Linked DNA regions of Arabidopsis thaliana. The protein of the gene in region 3 interacts with the protein of the main gene of each other region in a pairwise test. Each region holds a gene or a part of one and is shown on either strand. Other genes may lie near its edges. The genes, in order: AT4G00870, AIB, JAZ5 and MPPBETA.

Region 1 (4,069 bases), on a different chromosome or scaffold from region 3:
GTATCATAGGTTATGTATACATAGACACATGATAGTTTGTTGCATAACATATTTTAATTTCTTTTAGAAAAACATAAAACCATGATCATCAAATAAAACAAAACATTTTTGTCTCATTAAGTAAATGCAAAATTGTTTAGTTCTGTTTTATATGTGAATGTTAGATACAGAATGATTACTTTTTCAAGCACAAAAACATTTTTTGCAATTAGTAATTAGCAAACAAAATAAGAAAGATACAATTCAATTGCATTATTGTACCCTTTTCTTCTCTTTGCATTATTGTACCACTTTTTTTTCTCAACATTATTGTACCCTTTATTTTTCTGTGCATTGTACTAATATTTTTTCCCCAAATTAACCAATCAGTGTCTTAATATAACAGTACGTCCAAGAATAATTAATATAAAGCATTGGTAGTTCATTACGTAATTGACTTGATTTGTTAGCAAGCTATCACTGAAGAGTGGTCCTAAATATTATAGGACAAGCGTGTGTGTGTCTATAATTCCTCCGTCTTCTCTATGGTTTTCAAACTAATATTTCCAAATGATCAATTAATGAGTTGTTTCTTTTAAAATATACAGTCTCTATATTGTTTTAGTAAGACAATATACCAAACACTTTGCGCTTTTAGCGAGCTAGTACGTACGTACGAGAAATAAAGTAAAAAAGTAACACATAAACTACGTATCAACGAGATCAAACTTTTGATAAAACAACATTAATCGCTAGAAGGAATTTGATTTTTCTAGTACTTATCAAATAAAACAAAAGGTCGCAAAAAAAAACAAAAATTATTATCACATCCTATGTTGACGTCACAAAACAAAGAAATTGTTATAGGCTTAGGGTTCGGACAAGTGTGGTCCTAAGCCTATCTTCCGATCTTAATCCTTCTGGAACCAAAACAACAACATCTTGAACCATAACCTGACTCAAGCGCGACGCGTTCGCGTGTTGTACACGACAATCCATTTCCATTAACGCACTCATCAATGCCGACGTAGGATGGTTCACATTCTCTGTCTGAACCCTAATTATGGCTTCTTCTCCGACGATCTTCACTTGCACTTCCAAGTCAGAGCCTCTGTTTGATTTTGAAGGTTTCTGGTTAACTTGGTACTCAACGGAAGACGGAGACGTATTGCTGCTGCTGTTGTCTAATTTATCTGTCTCCGTCATCTTCATTTTCTTGATCTCAGTTTCGAGATCATCGATTTTGGATTTAAGACTTTCTATGTACGAAACTGCGTCGGATAAAAGTGACGCTTTGTCCATTCGTGACACTTTTGGTACGATGGCACGTAGAGCGTAAAACCGGTGGTTTAGCTTCTCTCTCCGTTGCTTCTCCGCTTCCACGTGGGACAAAACCGCCGGATGATGTTTCTCTTTCGTCGCCGCAGCTACCCTTGTCGTCTCAAGTTTCCTCCTCCGTTTTCTTTCCGACCCGAATTGCTGATTTCCGCTTTTCGAATGATCTGATACCGCCGGTTTAGGGTAAGAACCGGTTTGGTTAGTGTGTTTTGTTGTTTTACCCGACCCGAATATGGACTTGACTCGGTTTATAAAGTTCCGGTTTTGTATAATTGATTCAGACGAACCAAGTTCGATAATGCCATTGTTGATGGGTATGGAGACCAATGTGTGTACCCCGTGAAAACCGGCTTCTTTAGCCCTCTCGTAGTTGCTAAACCGGAGCTCGTCGGGACCGGTTAACCAAACCAAAGATTCATCGGATACTTCCTTTCTCGGCGATCTATCTTCACCGTAAAACGATGCGGCATAGAACAACTCCAGATCATCTCCACCGTCCATCATCAGCTCACACTCGATGCTGTTTGTTGTATACTTAAGAAAGAAACAAAAACAAAAAATCAAGGGTAAGGAAAATTATATTATTTTCTTAATAGAACTTTTTTAAGAAGTTGATTTAAATAAATTTTGGATATTTTGATTAGATAACATAAGAGGCAAAGAAAAATGAACATTTTCTTGGGAATTGTTGTTCTTGTTTCCACAGAAATGACCATCAACCCAAACCAAGTAAGACCGGTCCGATTGATCATCAAACATCTTTTGCCAAAAAATGACATAAGCCCATCGGTCCGGTGAGGTTTCCACGACAAACCGGAGTTTTTGTTGAAGTACTAAATCCGGAGGAGAAGAGGACACTATGGCTGCAGGAGTTTGTTGTGTAAAAGAGAGCAAAGAAGAGGACAATGATGGAGAGAAAGTGAGATTATACATTTCTTTCCAGTGATCCCGACCAAAGAGAATTTAGAGGGTTAGAGAAGACAAGTGGAAAAGGATGAATAAGATTCTAAATTAATAGAGAAGACGATATTATAGTAGTAATATCAAATTTTCATTAATGATTTTCGTGAATTAAAGTTTATGATAAATATTCCAATAGTAGTAAGTTAGTCACGTGAAAACTGAACTGTTTTCCTACTTTAACGTTATAAGAACAACAATTTATCGTATAGTGGTCCAACTTTGATGAAATAGACAATATATCATTCTTTGCCAAAAAAAAAAAAAAAAAAAAGACAATATATCATTTAGATTTATATTGAATGATGGTTCAAACGAAAACTTATTTTGACAAATTTGAAAAGAAAAAAAAAACATGAGAGCTACAACAAATGGATATATGTGACTTTATAAATTTCATAAAGGAAATGATTTATTCAAATTGGGGTAAGCATTGATCGAAGTTGAGTTATATAGAAAACAATAAGGAGTTATTACTTATTAGAAGCGATCAATGATCCTCATAGCAGCGTCAGAGAGTTGAGCATAGATATTGATTTGACTAAATAGTTGGGGAGACGTGAACTTGACACGTTTGAGATTGAACATACATCTCAGAGGAAAGCCAAGCGCAAGCTTTATCGATTTGTTGGTTTTATCATAATCACCGGTTTTCAAACTTGTTTTGGCTTCCGACAGTATTGTAGATGCATTCGTCGACAAGTCTTTTTTGCAAATCTCCAGAGCTGTTTTCACTTCACCTTTATCTTTCTTTGACGATAAATTCGTTATGTTACTACACAAATGAAAAAATTGATATATTAGAGGATATTTCTGTATATTGGTTATAATTTGTAAGTGAAAACTTGCTTGGTGATGATATGGAGGTGGGATTCAAGACAGTTTATGACGATGCCAGCTATGCCTATATGGTCGGCGTGAATGGAGTTTGGGTCGGATTCAAGACATTGCATGCATATGGCTGGGACGTCTGCATTGTGGCATTCATTTATCATCATGTCCTTCTCGGCGCATATCGACATAGGAGAGATCACCAGTATTAACAGCAGAAACTTGATCATCGTTTTCATGCTAAGTATGATTGATTATAGACTATATTTCTTTTTAAGGGGTGTGAATTACTTATATAAACTAAGAATATGGTTGGTCATGACTCATGAGTGATCTCTTTTACATTACACGTGTTTAACGTCTTTAATTTTACCTTTAAAACTGACCATTGAAATGCAAATTGATGTCTTATTTTACTTCATTTGGGTAGAAAAGCAGATTATAGTTCTCTTTTTGAATTATAATTTATACATTTTCTTACTCCATTCAATAATATTATGATCTATTACCCTTTAGTTTATGTTTTAAGTTTTTTTAATACATTTATGGATATTATTAGACATATAAACAATATAATAATTAAGATGTTTTGGCTTAGAACCTCCTAGTATTAAAAAAAAAAGTAGGGTAATTAATGATGTTTTTTCTTAAAACAATAACTAAAAGTAAGTAAAAGTTTTTTTTTTGTTAATTTTAAATTTTACTAATTGTAAGTAGGTAATAATAAAATTTAAATAAATTAGTGTAATTGTTTTTTTTTATATATACTTAGCTGAATACTTCCGTAAACATGTTTATAATACAAAAGCCCAATTTTGGCCCATAAACTTATAAAACATGGGTTTTTTTTTGTCGTTATAAAACATGGTTTTAGTTCACGAAGAATAATATATTCCTACCGCATCTAATCTATTAAACAAAATCACGTTATTGTATTTGGTAGTGAGTGTTGTTATTCTGG
Region 2 (4,546 bases), on a different chromosome or scaffold from region 3:
ATTCTCGTTGCATAATCTCACTAATGTATATATAACACTCGTTTGAATTTTGTTAAAACTATTTTGTTTTATTTTATATAAAATTACCGAAATTCAATCTACAAATTCAAATTTAAATTAGGTTCTCTACATATCTTAAAAAGATAAATAAGTGAAATTCATAATGATAAAGCCAATTTTGTTTTGTAACTATTATTAGCTTCTTTTTTCTTTTTTTTGAAGCAATGTATCTAATCTATTCTCTTCTAACGAAAGAGTATTAATTATTATAGACAAAAAAAAATAGTATTAAACAAGCCTACGCAAAACACGTTCAGTATTAGGTTATAGTTTTTAGTACTAATTAAAATATGAGATATGAGTTTTTTTGTTCTATTAGAACTTAAGAAGATAAAGAATTTATAAGTTGGTGCGACTCCGAATTACTCAAAAGACACCAATCATCGCGTTATCATCCTAATCTACAAAACAAGAGGTCAAATTTTGCATGTCACGTCACAATATTGTACATTATCATCACGTTTTTTTACAAAGCTTTAGTATATCAACGTATACATTTCAATGTACGAGTTTTCATTGTACTATCTATCCCTAAGTTTGAATTAGGTTTATCGAATCTCTTTCTTTATTTATATGCAAATTTTAATGATGTCATTTTAAATTATTATAAGAAAATATCCCCATACAAAACATGGTGAGGCTTATCTCATGCGATAATACTTTAAAATAGGTTATGAATATAATCATGTAATTATAAAAAAAGTTTTTAATTAATGGGGAGAAAACAATTAGAAAACTACAAACACATGATGATAGAAAAGTAGGTTAAAAGTCCATCACATGGTGCTCTCTCACAGAACGAGACCCTTTTTGTTGAACGTTACTGTTGGGCATGAGATTCACGCAAATCCTATGCGACAAATAATTTTCTTTCCATAAAAATCTAAATAAAGAAAGAACGTACCATTTTTTATATCGAAGTTAAGGACTATATATATACTATTGATAAGAATAATATACTCAGACTATACTATTAATTAAATGGACCCACGTTAATAACGATGTCTGAAATAACCAAAACCCCACCAGACAATTCAGACAATATTTCTTTGTTTCTTTATGCATGTGAGTTATTTTTATTGGTAGAGAAAAAAATAAAAACAAATAATTAATTTAGTACTATTTAGTACATAATAAATTTTAAAATATTTCGACCATGTGATCTATACTTCTTAAGTACATTACTATAATTTGAATCTCTCACGTAGGTACATACACACGTGTGTACACAAAACACTATTTTCTCTAAAATTTACCAAGTGCAAATATCGTTGTTTCACTAAAATCACCATCAAGTATGTATTACTTTTACGAAATTAATCGGATTTGGAGACAAATTCAAAGACTAGCCAGATTTAGGGGTGAGATAATCCATTTGCAAAATAGATTTGAAAAGAGATTTTAGATTTTCTATCTTTATTCGGAGAGAAACAATCAAAGTAAGTGAACTTAAAATCAGGAAACAGAGTTAATAATCAGAGTAATTATTAACCATGGTTAAGTTGAATAACCAAAGTAATTAACGTGCATAAGTAACCATGGTTGGGTTTTTAAAAAGAGCTTTCATACAAACTTCAATTACCCCAGCAAGTCTTGTCTCCTTCTCTCTCTCTCTCCCTCTCTAACTGTATCTTCTTCTTCTTCTTCAACCTTCAGACTTTTCTAGTTGCAACTCTCATTCAATTGTTCAATTTCTCTGTAAAAATCAAAGCTTTTTGGAATCTTTCTTCGGCGAGATATTTCTTCACCGGCGCAAGCTTCTCTTGAGCGTGATTCATCACTGGGTTTGCATTTTTTCCTGGTGGGTATTCTTCAAATTGTTCAAAGCTCCGACCTTTTCTTCCTTAGAATCTGATTACTGGAATCTTGAAGCTGGAGAGACTCGAGTTTATATGGTTTCAAGCATCGTTGAGTCAATCATTGAGTTGTGTAGAAGAAAGGTTTGGTTTTCTTCTCCGTTTAAGTGGTTTTGGGTTTGGTAGGATTTGGTGTAATCTGGGAGATAAAGAAAGATGAATATGAGTGATTTAGGTTGGGATGATGAAGATAAATCGGTGGTTAGTGCTGTTTTAGGGCATTTAGCTTCTGATTTTCTTCGAGCAAACTCTAATTCGAATCAGAATCTCTTTCTTGTTATGGGAACTGATGATACTCTGAATAAGAAGCTCTCTAGTCTCGTTGATTGGCCAAACTCGGAGAATTTCAGCTGGAACTACGCTATTTTCTGGCAACAAACCATGTCTAGATCCGGACAACAAGTCTTAGGTTGGGGAGATGGGTGTTGTCGAGAGCCTAATGAGGAAGAGGAATCAAAAGTTGTTAGGTCTTATAATTTTAACAACATGGGGGCAGAGGAAGAGACATGGCAAGATATGAGGAAGAGAGTGTTGCAGAAGCTTCATAGGTTGTTTGGTGGATCTGATGAAGACAATTATGCTTTGAGCTTAGAGAAAGTTACTGCTACTGAGATTTTCTTCTTAGCTTCCATGTATTTCTTCTTCAATCACGGTGAAGGCGGTCCTGGGAGGTGTTATTCTTCAGGGAAACATGTGTGGCTCTCTGATGCAGTTAACTCTGAGTCTGACTATTGTTTCAGGTCTTTTATGGCGAAATCTGCGGGAATCAGAACGATCGTTATGGTTCCTACTGATGCTGGTGTTCTTGAGCTTGGTTCTGTTTGGTCTTTGCCTGAAAACATTGGCTTGGTTAAGTCTGTTCAAGCTTTGTTCATGAGGAGAGTTACGCAACCAGTAATGGTGACTTCAAACACTAACATGACTGGAGGGATTCACAAGCTTTTCGGGCAGGATTTGAGTGGAGCTCACGCGTATCCTAAGAAGCTCGAAGTGAGAAGAAACTTGGATGAGAGATTCACTCCTCAAAGTTGGGAAGGCTATAATAACAATAAAGGTCCAACATTTGGTTACACACCTCAGAGGGATGATGTGAAAGTGCTAGAGAATGTGAATATGGTTGTAGATAATAACAATTACAAGACGCAGATTGAGTTTGCGGGATCATCAGTTGCTGCTTCTTCGAATCCATCTACAAACACTCAGCAAGAAAAATCAGAATCTTGTACAGAGAAAAGACCAGTGAGCTTGTTAGCAGGAGCAGGAATAGTTTCTGTTGTTGATGAGAAGAGACCGAGAAAGAGAGGGAGAAAGCCTGCAAACGGAAGAGAAGAGCCATTGAACCATGTGGAAGCTGAGAGGCAGAGACGCGAGAAGCTTAACCAAAGATTCTACGCTTTACGATCAGTTGTTCCAAACATTTCTAAAATGGACAAGGCTTCTCTACTTGGAGACGCAATTTCTTACATCAAAGAGCTTCAAGAGAAAGTCAAGATAATGGAAGATGAAAGAGTAGGAACAGATAAGAGCTTATCAGAATCAAACACAATAACAGTAGAAGAAAGTCCAGAAGTTGACATTCAAGCTATGAATGAAGAGGTTGTTGTAAGAGTAATCTCGCCTTTGGATTCACATCCAGCTTCAAGAATCATACAAGCAATGAGAAACTCAAATGTTAGTCTAATGGAGGCTAAGTTATCATTAGCTGAAGACACAATGTTTCACACTTTTGTGATAAAGTCTAACAACGGGTCGGATCCATTGACGAAAGAGAAGCTTATAGCAGCGTTTTACCCCGAGACCAGCTCGACGCAACCGCCATTGCCTTCTTCTAGTTCACAGGTCTCTGGTGATATATAAGTTTCACATGATGGTGAAGCTTTTGTCTATTCTTGTTTCAGTATAGATAACTTTCAGGTTCAACTAGAAATAGATAAAATCCTTTTTTCTTTTCTCTTTCTTATAGTGAAAGGAATCCGGTTTAAGTATATTCATTAACTTTATTTAGACCATTGATTCACATATTTGTATCTTGGGAAAATATTTCCTATACTTTAGAAAATCAAATAAAGTATGAAAGATATTTGACTTCTCTTTCTTTGTTATGGATGCTTTATTCAGTTACAATTTGGGATCCATTCTTTTTTTTTTTCAAATAAAGCAATAGTTATAACAAGTTAATATTATCCAATCAATGTTATTCAGGTAAATATTTGATTAATTATCTTGTAGAATGTTCATGTACATTTGAATTTTGAAGTGACCAAATCTTATATATTGGTCATGAATATGATATATTGACATTTCAAGAGACTGAGCTAAAAATTACTTAAAAATGAGAATCAATTATTTTTTTTCCATTGGTCCATTATTTTATGCAATGCAGCACATAATAATCTATTTTGGTTTTGGTTTGGGCTTCTGGTAGTTCTGAAAAGCCCAGTATAAAGCCCAACTCCATTAATGCATCTTCACCTCTACGACGAGAATTGTGCTTCCGATTCATTTCACATAGGGTTTGTTTCTCCGATCAGATCCAATTTCAATCCTTCTCCGTCAGATTATCTCCTCGGCCACGATGTCTCTCCGCCGCACTATCCTCGATCTCCACCGTCAAACCCAGAGAGCCACTC
Region 3 (4,823 bases):
GAGAAAAACCAGTGAAATCGAGCTTGGGAAAAAGAGCCTAGAAACCCAAATCGAGCATGGAAATGGAAGAAGAATAGAGCAAACCTGTGGCGGGGCAAGGAGACCAGGATGGTAGAGAGACTGTTGCTGCATAAGAGCTTGCTGCATCATAACTTGTTGCTGCTGCTGCTGCTGCTTCAACCTCTGCATTTTCTCTCTCGGGGAAAAAATTATTGTCTTTGATTTTGCTTTTCGTTCCCAGGTAATGAAAATTGACACAGTGTTCTGTCTTTTAGGGTTCGAAAGTGTTTTCGGTGTTCGAGAAAAATGTAAGAAAAATGACAAAATATTAATAACAAAAAAAAAATGAAGAACAGGAAAAAAAAAAGGAAGTCTCTTGATAGAAAGCGAAGGAAGCAATCGAGTGGCTCTTACGAATTTTATTGGATTTATTATTTTTACACATCGATTAGCTAAAGTCACAGGCTGTAAGAAAATTTAAAAAGCAACAGCCAATGAACTCGTCCCACGTTAAACTTATGGCTCAGGCCCAATCACTGTCCAAATCAGACACGCCTTCAATGAACTTGAACCTGACAACTAATTACAATAAACACCCCTGAGTTTAGTGAAAACTTGATATACACTCCAATAATAATCATTTTCATAAATTACACCCTAAATAAATTAGAAAGGAGCTCTGATCACTTTCAACCATCTTTACCCGCATTACGATTGCAGTCAGATTCCTCTTCATGTTATTGCAGTCAGATCAATTCACAACTCCTAAATATTCTTCCTCTTGTCTAATTTGCTATTTCTCGCTTAACGTTATGTAATTTAACTCCCAAGTGTTGTACGTAGTTAACTAATTATAATATAACTTTACTATCGTCTATTGTGTTTATGAATGAATATTCAAGTTAGAATAAGATTACATACTGTAGTACAAAGCAAAATAAAATCACTTAGATAAGTCAGAAAAATCGAAACGTTAATCTAAAAACTCAGTTCCTACAAGAAATTTAGCAAATATTACTATAGCCTTAGATCGAGATCTTTCGAACTTTGGCCTTCTTCAATCTTCATAATATCATCTTTATCACCGTCTGATTTGATATGGGCCATGGTTTGACCAATGGCGTTATCCGGCGGTCTTTGTGACGACTGTCCTGCCTCTAGTGGTTGACCGGTTACAATCTCTGGCTTGGGAGGATAACGATGATGACCTGCGTTTTGGTTAACTTGGTACGGAGCCCTAGCCACAGCTCTGCAACAGAAAAATTAATAACGTAAATTACGAGGCTTGTTGAGGATAATTTAGGAGAACTTATATCAGAGGGAGGATCCTTAAACTTTTGAGTTTTGAACTAACTAGAGTGATTGGAAATTTGGAACATTAAAACAAGTTTCAAAAAGTATGATAAGGTTAAATACCTGTCTTTCCGTTTAGCAAAGAATCGATGGAGGGAAGCTCTACGTGCTATACGTTCCACGATCTGATTTTGTTCTTGTTGCTGTTGTTGTTCCTTTGTTAGGTGATTATTATCAGTAGGCTCATTGAGATCAGGAAGAACCATGCTGCTCTTGTTGTTGTTGTTTTCGTCATTGATTGGTGTCTGAATGTTAATCTCAGTCACAGGCTTGGCTTGTTTTGCTACTTCCATAATCTCTTTAGCTTTGTCTACGGGGAACTCATTATATACTAAAACTTTCCCTCCGAAGAATATGGTCAGCTGCGAACTTCCTGGCTGTGATTCACTGCAAACCAAAAACAGATTTCAGAACAAAACCAATTTTAACCGGATTAACCGATTATCCTTTTCTCTAATCTCCAATAACCAAAAACAACAAGTATTCCCAAGGAACAAAAGGAGAGACCTGAGGTCAGCAACATCTTTGACTTTGCCTCCTGATGAGGTAGAGGGTTCGCCTTTGGAATGCCCTGCCTTATGCATCGCATTTTGTTTCCCTGCATAAAGAGAATAAAAACTTTCGTGAACTATAATAACTTTAGAAAAATGATATAGCATCTTATATCTTTGGAATTTTATTAACCACATCTCAATCAATTTCTATATCAACTTATTCGTTATTTTTGTTACTTGTCTTCATAATTACAAGGAGAAATTATTTCTGAAGTAAGGAACTGACTTACAAATGAAGAAACAATACAAAAGTAGTAAATCTGGCAAAAGCAAGTAGTAACAGAACTGAGTTTTTAAAGTACTATTACCAAGTGGCGGCCATGAAAGAAGAAAGAGATAATAAAAGTACCTGGTGGATCGAATTTTCCGGGCAACGCGAGACTGGAATCGGGTTTTCGGTATAAGCCAAGATCAATGTTTCCGAAACTACCCTTCTCCTTCAAGTAACGGCTGAGCAAACTACATCTCCGGGTAAAGTCAGATTTCTCCGGCGCTTGTGCCTTAGCATTTTCATTGCTCGACGACATGTTGTTGTTTATTGAGAAGAAAGAATTCTCCACACTTACTTTTTAAAGATATTCTTTATCTCTTCTTTTCTTTTCTTTTTGTTGGTGCGTGGATTGCGCGTAAAATGGAAGAGTACAAGAGGCTACTAGCTCAATAGCTCATGTGTTTATAAACTCATTCACCCAATAAGTTTCTGTGACTTTAATAGCCTCTCATAAATTAATGAAAACAAAAATAAATAGGAACTTTTTAGTTTCTTAAAAATATTTCAATATATTGTGACCAAAATAGAATTAAACTTCTCAATAATAAATTTATTAACAACAACCAAAAAAACCAAAAAACAAATCTTACATAAAGCCATGAGATTATATCATATTTAGTAATATTCCATCGCATGCATTTTTAACTAGTTAAAGAACTATATCTAGTGTGAAGAAAGGAATTTTCATCCATGATTAATAGTAAGAAAATTAATGTTAATAATCCATCATTGTGCAAGTAATTTATCTATTGTTTTATGAGTTGGTACAACAAATTTATTGCCCTGTCTTATCATAAAAATATGTTCACCTCTTGTTTCTTGTTTGGCACAGTTTAGTTGTCTACCATCAACGGCCAGATTTCAAAATTGGACTACTTTTTTATATATATTTTCGGTTAGAATTTACCGCACGTTTTCCTTACGCGTAACGATAAAAGAGAAAAAGAATAAAGATTTCAGAACCGACGGCAAACGTTATTAAACGGCGTATGTCACAAATTCGTAAAAGACTCGAAATTTGATCGTATTTACAAAATTTGCCCTTCCACAAGAGCACATTACCAACTCCAGTGATGGCATCATCGTAATAGAAACAACTTTCATGGCCTTTTTTTACATCACCGCGACGTTCCTCACGTTAGTTAACAAACTTAACGGCGGTGCGAATTGAATAGTAAGTGGACCAATGTGGGATCCTACCATCAAACCCCTACGAAGTTTCATGTGCCATAAAAATTCAAAGTCTCCGATACGATCCGACAGAAGTTTTTTGATTAAAACACGTGGTTTAAATAGAACAGACCGTCAAGATTGTGACACGTATCGCAATCTGTACGACGCACTAGCAACAGTATCGTGTGAATCGCGTTTTTCCCACTTTCCTATAGAAAGAAAAAAGGAAAAATCTTAAGATCACCTAATCAGTTTGGTCAAAAATAAAATTGATGGATCAATTGACCGAACTGCCCCTTTCACGGATGCCCATAATAATCAATACGTTCGTTGGTTGCTTCAAAACTACGACTCGTTCAAAAAAACGTGTTCGGGGAAAATGATACCAAAGATATAAAAAGTTTAGATGTGACTTAGTTTAATAAGTGTTGTTGATGGGACTAAATGAAGCAAGATTAGAGCAAACCGAGTGATCGGCCAATTGATCGAACCAGATTGTCAAACCGGTTTGGTAACTCGTTACCCCTAGCTACGCCACTACACTACTTGCATTGTTGCAAAGACCAAGTGGCTGTTGTGTTTTGGAAAAAAAAAAAACGTTCTGGGGTTTAGAAAAATTGGGTAGCGAATGGGTCCTTTTGAAAGTGATATTTTTTTTTGTAGAAGAGGGGGGCGAACCCCCATTTTTATTAAAACTGAAAAAACTAAAAAAATTACACTTGAACGTTCCGGGGGTACGCAGACCCCGCTACATCATCGTGAACAATCGACATAACAATATCCGGAGTAGAATTAAACAAATGAAAACCTAACGGTAAAAAAAAAGCATAGTTAGCTAACCCATCCGCGAGACGATTAGCTTCTCTATACACATGCGAAATCCGGACTGACCAGTCCTTTGAAAGTAAGCCATGGCACAACCGCACCAGGAAGGACAGCGGATGCGAATCATCAATCCCTGTCCGAAGAAAACCCACTACCATCTCCGAATCAATCTCCATCTCCAACTGTGTGACACCGCGCTCCCAAGCGATATTTAAACCGTAATATGCTCCCCATAGTTCCGCAAGCGGAGCCGAACAAATTCCAATATTCAACGAAAACCCATAACACCAATTTCCATCCCCGTCTCGAACTACTCCACCTGCTGTAGCTAGTCTCGGGTTACCACGCGAAGCACCATCAGTATTGAGCTTAAACCAACCCACCCTTGGCGGAGACCACGCAATCAATCTCTCCTCCCTAGCTGTCCGCGTCGTCACTCCCATTTTGTGCACATGCGCCTTCCAAACATCCAACGCACGATCCTTAATAAAACGAACCCGATCCCGACACTTCTTGTTCTCGCCAAAGATGTTACCGTAACGCCATTTCCACCCCCACCATATGGCCTGCGAAAAAGTGACCGCCCATGGACAACCATTAATCTCTATCTCCTCTCCTAAATTCGCATAGATCCATTCTAACAGCGA
Region 4 (5,673 bases), on a different chromosome or scaffold from region 3:
TTAGAAGAGCTAGCAATTGGTCTAGAGCTTACCAAGAGGTAATGATTTGGACATAACCGGGTTTGTGTGTTCCGGTTTACCCTACTTACTCTATGCGTGTCTATTATGTAATAAGTTATGTTGATCCATTCACCAGGCCAGTTTTGTGGGTCACTGGTGATCAACAACCAATCAAACTTGGGTCGGATCGAGTCAAAGTGGTGAGATGGGCTCCACAACGGGAGGTCCTTTCTTCTGGAGCCATTGGGTGTTTTGTGAGCCATTGTGGATGGAATTCAACTCTGGAAGGAGCCCAAAATGGCATACCATTTCTATGCATCCCTTATTTTGCAGACCAATTTATCAACAAAGCATATATATGCGATGTGTGGAAGATTGGATTAGGACTTGAAAGAGACGCACGAGGAGTGGTTCCGAGGTTAGAGGTTAAGAAGAAGATCGATGAGATCATGAGAGACGGTGGAGAGTATGAAGAACGAGCTATGAAGGTTAAAGAGATTGTGATGAAAAGTGTTGCAAAAGATGGAATATCTTGTGAGAATCTTAATAAATTTGTCAACTGGATCAAATCACAAGTGAATTGATAGAGTTTCACAAGAAGAAATGAAATGTATCCAATTCAAGTTTTCAACCAAACATCAAAGAACTTATTAGTATGTGTATGGGAAAATTATGAAGAGAACAAAAAAAACACACACAGAGGATCTCTAGCATTTTTCCAGTAGAGGACAAAGAGTAAATGGTACACTTATTTTACCAGCGATGATGGTAAATTATGAAGATACAGTAAGAAAAACTCAAAAATAATGAATCCATCATCACCTCGTTCTGCTCTCTCCGCCTACGGAATCTCCCCGTGGGCGAACCTTGCGATTCAGTGACCTTTATTTCAGAGCCTTAGTACCGGTTCCAGTAGGTTCTGCGTCTGAATTTGTTGTAGTCTGGCAAATCTTGGATTGGACCAATAGCTGAGATTGCAATGTCCTGCACATAATCCCAAAAATCACCTTAATCACTCTTGACGTTTGTACTCTTGTTTAGCAGTCTAATCCTTGGAGGATAGAGAGAGCAAGAGGGAGAGAGAAATAGAACTTACTTTGTCATAGATATATTTGTTGGCAACACGTTTTACCGTGCTGGCATCAACAGCATCGATCCTAGCAAAGAGTTCAGCGGTTGGGATTCTACGCCCATAGGTCAGCAGCTGCATTTAGAACAAAAATCCAGGCGTTTTATTAGAATGATTTTGAAGATAAACACCAACTATAAGGAAAGTCAAGGTTTGTTATCTTTGACCAATGCATTTATAAACTTATAAGTTCTAAATTAAGATGCTTAAATGATTCATCGCATACCTGACGACCAATATCTTCAGCAATTGGGCTGGTTCCATCCATGTGAAGTAACAATGATGATTTCAGCTGCAGAGAAATTTAAAATCAGTTGGCATTTAAAATCTATCTACAAATAAGTAAGGAGTTCGAAGAAACAGGAGGAAAAGAAAAAAAAAACTTTAAACAGATCACATTTGTAACTAGCTTAAAGCTGAATCTTGGGAAAGAGAGAAAGAACAGTTGGGCGTTTACCTGATTTCGTGCACGTGTCACATCAGCGTCTGAAACTCGGTAGGCCAGCTTGGTTACCTCATACATAATGGCATATGATAAATCATCCAAGCAATCGGCCTGAAAAAAGTACCTTACAAGATGTTAAAAGAGATATAATACGAGGCATTCATGAGATGAAACTGCTAATATTGACAAATACAAGAAAGAGATGAAACTAAGATAGCTATGGAGTTCTGGGTTGACCTTGGCAACTGCATAAACGCCGAACAGTCCAGTATCCTTGTAGTTAGTGTTGAATGCCATTATGCTTTCTGCTATTTCATTAATGGCAACCCTCTGGGTCAGGTCAGAACTGCACATAGAACCATAATGTTCATCAACACATTGCGAAATAGCTTTTCATTAAATCCATCATTAGAAATATTAGCCAGAGAGTAAACTCACCCCACGTGTTTTCCACCACCAACATTTTTGTTCCACGAACCCAACATAGTTTGCATAACCATAAGAGCAACGGAATCTGGATCAGTCCAAGATGCTCCCTCAAAGGCAACAGCAAATTGTGCAAGGGGTAGGTCGTCATCAATCATTCGGACCTGAGAAGAATTTCACGGACTAAAGAATTTAGAAAGATGGAACATTGCATATAACAAAATCATATGGTTGTGTCCTTACCTCAGAACCAGTAAAACTAGCAGGTTCATTGGCAACCAGTTGAGAAGTAGTTGTTGGATCAGACGACAACTTGGTAAATAGCTTCTTCACTTGCTCAACAACTTCCTCATGCTTAACAGCTCCTGCAGCAGCAATCACCTGAAAATGTTTTGGATGAACCAAGATAAGAATCCTAAAAAATTCAATAAGTGATTGTAGGAAATGATAAGAAGTAACCAAAATCTATACCATCCTGGAAGCAGTGTAGTGAGTCTTAATGTAGTTCTGTAGATCCTCTCTGGTGATCGATTTGACGTTCTGAGCAGGTCCCAAAATAGTTCTTCCAAGGGGTGTGTATTGGAATGCAGTGGCATGTAAATGGTCAAGAACCACTTCATCGGTTTGTCCCTCCACCTACGACCAAACCAATTATCAAAAAACTAAAGCTTAATGTGTATTCTATCTTTAACTGATTAAAGAAACAAATAACTCTAACCAACACGTAGAGCAGAGTACCAAGCGCTCTAGTATCTCCCTTCATGCACATTTCCCAACAACAATACGACCAACATATGACTAAGCCAATAAAACCAAAACATGCGAGAGATAATCCAAAAACAGAACAAAGTTTTCATTTTTAGAGCAATGGTTTATATAAACACAATAACATCTCTCTATAGAACATGTGCTTATGCCAATACAACCTTAAAAAAAGGGAAGATAACTTAAGAACATACTAAAGTTTTCATTTTTAGGCAGGCACACGGGAAACTGAAACTAAGGGTATTGATCTAAAAAAACACAAACTACGGTCCATAGTACCACCTCACTAAAAAAAAACGAAAGATAAATCGAGGACAGAACAAAAAGTTTAGTTTTTTAAGTACAGAGATAACAAATACATACCTCTTGCATTTCCCTGAGGATGACATCTCGTTCGCGGTTAATTCTCTGTTCCTCGAACTTAGAATTCTGTAGGATATCAGCCAAGACATCCAAAGCCTGGTTCACATTGGAATCCAAAACCTTAGCATAATAAGTGGTCTGTTCCCTCGATGTATACGCGTTCAGGTGACCACCAATATCTTCGATCTCTTCCTCCAACGCTCTCACTGTACGCCTATCCGTGCCTTTGAATATCATATGCTCCAAAAAATGAGCCGTTCCGTTGGTCTCATCGGACTCAAACCGAGATCCAGCGTCGATCCAGACTCCAACGGTGGCGGTCTTAGCCGAGAGATTTGACTCAGTAGCGACTCGTAGACCATTGGGCAAGGTAGTGACACGAGTCTCCGGAGCTGACAAGATGTGATTGTGGGAAGCGAGGATCGGATGTGGAGATGCGTATTTAAGGAACCTCTTATCAGGATTCTCGAGCTTCTTGATCTTATTTTTTATAATCTCAGCCGCGTGGTCGTATGGCATAAGATGCGGCGGCGGTGGAGATAGAGCCGTCGGAGATGCGGAAGCCGGCACCGAATCGATAGCTGAAAACGAAGAGGAAGATCGTGTGGCTTGAGTGAGGAATAAACGCCTCTGAGATCGGCGAGCTAGGGACAGTAGATTCTTCATCGCCATGGCTGATGATGGCTTCTCTTCGCTCTCTCAATCTCTCTAGGGTTTGATTAAAAAGCCAAAAATGGCAGAGACGACTTGAGATGCGAACTAATAGCCAGTGGTTAAGCGATTATAAAACGACGTCATTTAATGTTACTAATTAAGAACGGTGTCGTTTAGGACATAATACTAGTCAACTGATATAATAAGGCCGTAGTAGGCGCATTATCGTATCAAAGAACATTATTCATACTGGTTAGATAGTAAGGCCGTATGAAGAATTAGGCCCATTAGTGTGGGCTGAGAACGGGTTGGATTTTTTGACCCGGATATGGGGAGAAAACCCTAATCGAAATATCGTGGCCGTATATATAAGTTTTGTTATTGGAGAATAAAAACCCTAGTCTTTGCGGAGAGAGATTCAGCTGCGTTGGGCAAAATCCCAGACGAAGATCAGTGATTAGTCTTTTGATAACTTGAGCCATGGCAACTGGTAAAACTGTGAAAGACGTCTCGCCTCATGACTTCGTCAAGGCTTATGCTTCTCATCTCAAGCGATCTGGCAAGGTTAGTGGATAAAGTCTCTTCTTTTTTGTTTGAGTAGAAATGTTCCAAGCTTTATTTGTATGTACTCGAATAAAGATGGATTAAGCTCAAATTGCAATGATTTCCATTAGTTCATAGATATTTCTGTTGATTGTTGGCATTTCTCTATAATACTTTGAATTGTGTAATGTCTGTTGAATGTATTGAAATTTTGTATATGTTGCTAATATTTATTGAATCACAAGTGTTACTCTTAGTATTTGTTAATAGACAGCTTAAGATTCAAATGCTTGGGATTAATATTGTGATTTGCTTTGTTACGTCTGTTGAATTAATTTACACTAGCAATTACAATAGCTTGAATGTCAAGCTCCACTTTTTACAATTGTTTTGGTTTTCACGAGACCATAATTGTTTGTTTCAGATCGAGCTTCCCACATGGACAGACATTGTGAAGACCGGAAAGTTGAAGGAGCTTGCACCATATGATCCTGATTGGTACTACATCAGAGCTGGTTAGTTCTCTTTCATCCTAGTTTGTCTCTTATTATCTCTATGCGTTTATAAAGTTTTCAATTAGCAAAATGACTTCTTGTGCAGCATCTATGGCAAGGAAGGTTTACCTGAGGGGAGGACTTGGTGTTGGTGCTTTCCGTAGAATCTATGGTGGAAGCAAGAGGAACGGTAGTCGCCCACCTCACTTTTGCAAAAGCAGTGGTGGTATTGCCCGTCACATCCTCCAACAGCTGGAGACAATGAACATTGTTGAGCTCGACACCAAAGGGTAACATTACTACTACTACTACTACTACTACTACTACGTTAGAGGTGTTTCTCTTTAAAAATGTTTTTATGCTAATACTAGTATCACTTTTGTTCTTCTTTCAGAGGAAGAAGGATCACTTCCAGTGGCCAAAGGGATTTGGACCAGGTTGCTGGCCGTATTGCAGTTGAACCTTGAAGATCTTAATGTTCTTTTTTGTTCTTCTTCTACTTTTGAGGCCATTGTGCTTTTAGTGTTTATCTTTACTTTTAAGAATTGTTACCATTTCATTCTCAAGACTTGCGCTCATAATGTTCAAAAATTTATCTTTTTGGCGATGGCTTTGGACATTGAAACTTATGTCTTCAACCGTATTTTTGTGTTCGTCCGATTTAAGGATAATAGGATATGGTTTCTTCATCCCTAAATTGCTAATTTCATCCTTCTTTAGTGCCACTAATCTCACTTTTATGCTTCACTTTTAACCGAAATTTCTTTGAGAGAAGAGAAGCAAAGATTAGATATCTTCATCACATTATATTCTTTGTTGTATTCTCTCCATTCATAGGCAAAGAGATGTCATCT

What was found.
Region 1: the proteins of JAZ5 (region 3) and AT4G00870 interact in a two-hybrid assay, tested with the Arabidopsis thaliana proteins (one study listed by BioGRID).
Region 2: the proteins of JAZ5 (region 3) and AIB interact in a two-hybrid assay, tested with the Arabidopsis thaliana proteins (one study listed by BioGRID).
Region 4: the proteins of JAZ5 (region 3) and MPPBETA interact in binary tests that used the Arabidopsis thaliana proteins (3 or more experiments, as listed by UniProt).

The regions. Positions count from the first base shown.
Region 1 is NC_003075.7:361,390-365,458, forward strand, and holds AT4G00870 (basic helix-loop-helix (bHLH) DNA-binding superfamily protein), read right to left. Parts: upstream 2,321-4,069; 5' UTR 2,251-2,320; coding exon 1,990-2,250; intron 1,852-1,989; coding exon 841-1,851; 3' UTR 544-840; downstream 1-543. Other genes in the region: AT4G00872 (Plant invertase/pectin methylesterase inhibitor superfamily protein), read right to left, coding at 2,758-3,052, 3,127-3,347.
Region 2 is NC_003071.7:19,090,414-19,094,959, reverse strand, and holds AIB (ABA-inducible BHLH-type transcription factor), read left to right. Parts: upstream 1-1,586; 5' UTR 1,587-2,072; coding exon 2,073-3,773; 3' UTR 3,774-4,007; downstream 4,008-4,546. Other genes in the region: SDH4 (succinate dehydrogenase subunit 4), read left to right, coding at 4,492-4,546. UniProt on the Arabidopsis thaliana protein: Transcription activator. Positively regulates abscisic acid (ABA) response. Confers drought tolerance and sensitivity to ABA.
Region 3 is NC_003070.9:5,954,637-5,959,459, forward strand, and holds JAZ5 (jasmonate-zim-domain protein 5), read right to left. Parts: upstream 2,876-4,823; 5' UTR 2,435-2,875; coding exon 2,257-2,434; exon of another isoform or gene 2,043-2,256; coding exon of another isoform or gene 1,952-2,042; coding exon 1,861-1,951; intron 1,741-1,860; coding exon 1,417-1,740; coding exon of another isoform or gene 1,350-1,416; exon of another isoform or gene 1,250-1,349; coding exon 1,018-1,249; 3' UTR 519-1,017; downstream 1-518. Other genes in the region: UBP1B (oligouridylate binding protein 1B), read right to left, coding at 85-189. UniProt on the Arabidopsis thaliana protein: Repressor of jasmonate responses.
Region 4 is NC_003074.8:363,751-369,423, reverse strand, and holds MPPBETA (Insulinase (Peptidase family M16) protein), read right to left. Parts: upstream 3,876-5,673; 5' UTR 3,801-3,875; coding exon 3,129-3,800; intron 2,637-3,128; coding exon 2,472-2,636; intron 2,382-2,471; coding exon 2,244-2,381; intron 2,165-2,243; coding exon 2,013-2,164; intron 1,921-2,012; coding exon 1,812-1,920; intron 1,686-1,811; coding exon 1,587-1,685; intron 1,422-1,586; coding exon 1,356-1,421; intron 1,205-1,355; coding exon 1,093-1,204; intron 985-1,092; coding exon 890-984; 3' UTR 585-889; downstream 1-584. Other genes in the region: AT3G02100 (UDP-Glycosyltransferase superfamily protein), read left to right, coding at 1-38, 137-584; AT3G02080 (Ribosomal protein S19e family protein), read left to right, coding at 4,263-4,346, 4,750-4,840, 4,926-5,109, 5,214-5,286. UniProt on the Arabidopsis thaliana protein: Catalytic subunit of the essential mitochondrial processing protease (MPP), which cleaves the mitochondrial sequence off newly imported precursors proteins. Preferentially, cleaves after an arginine at position P2.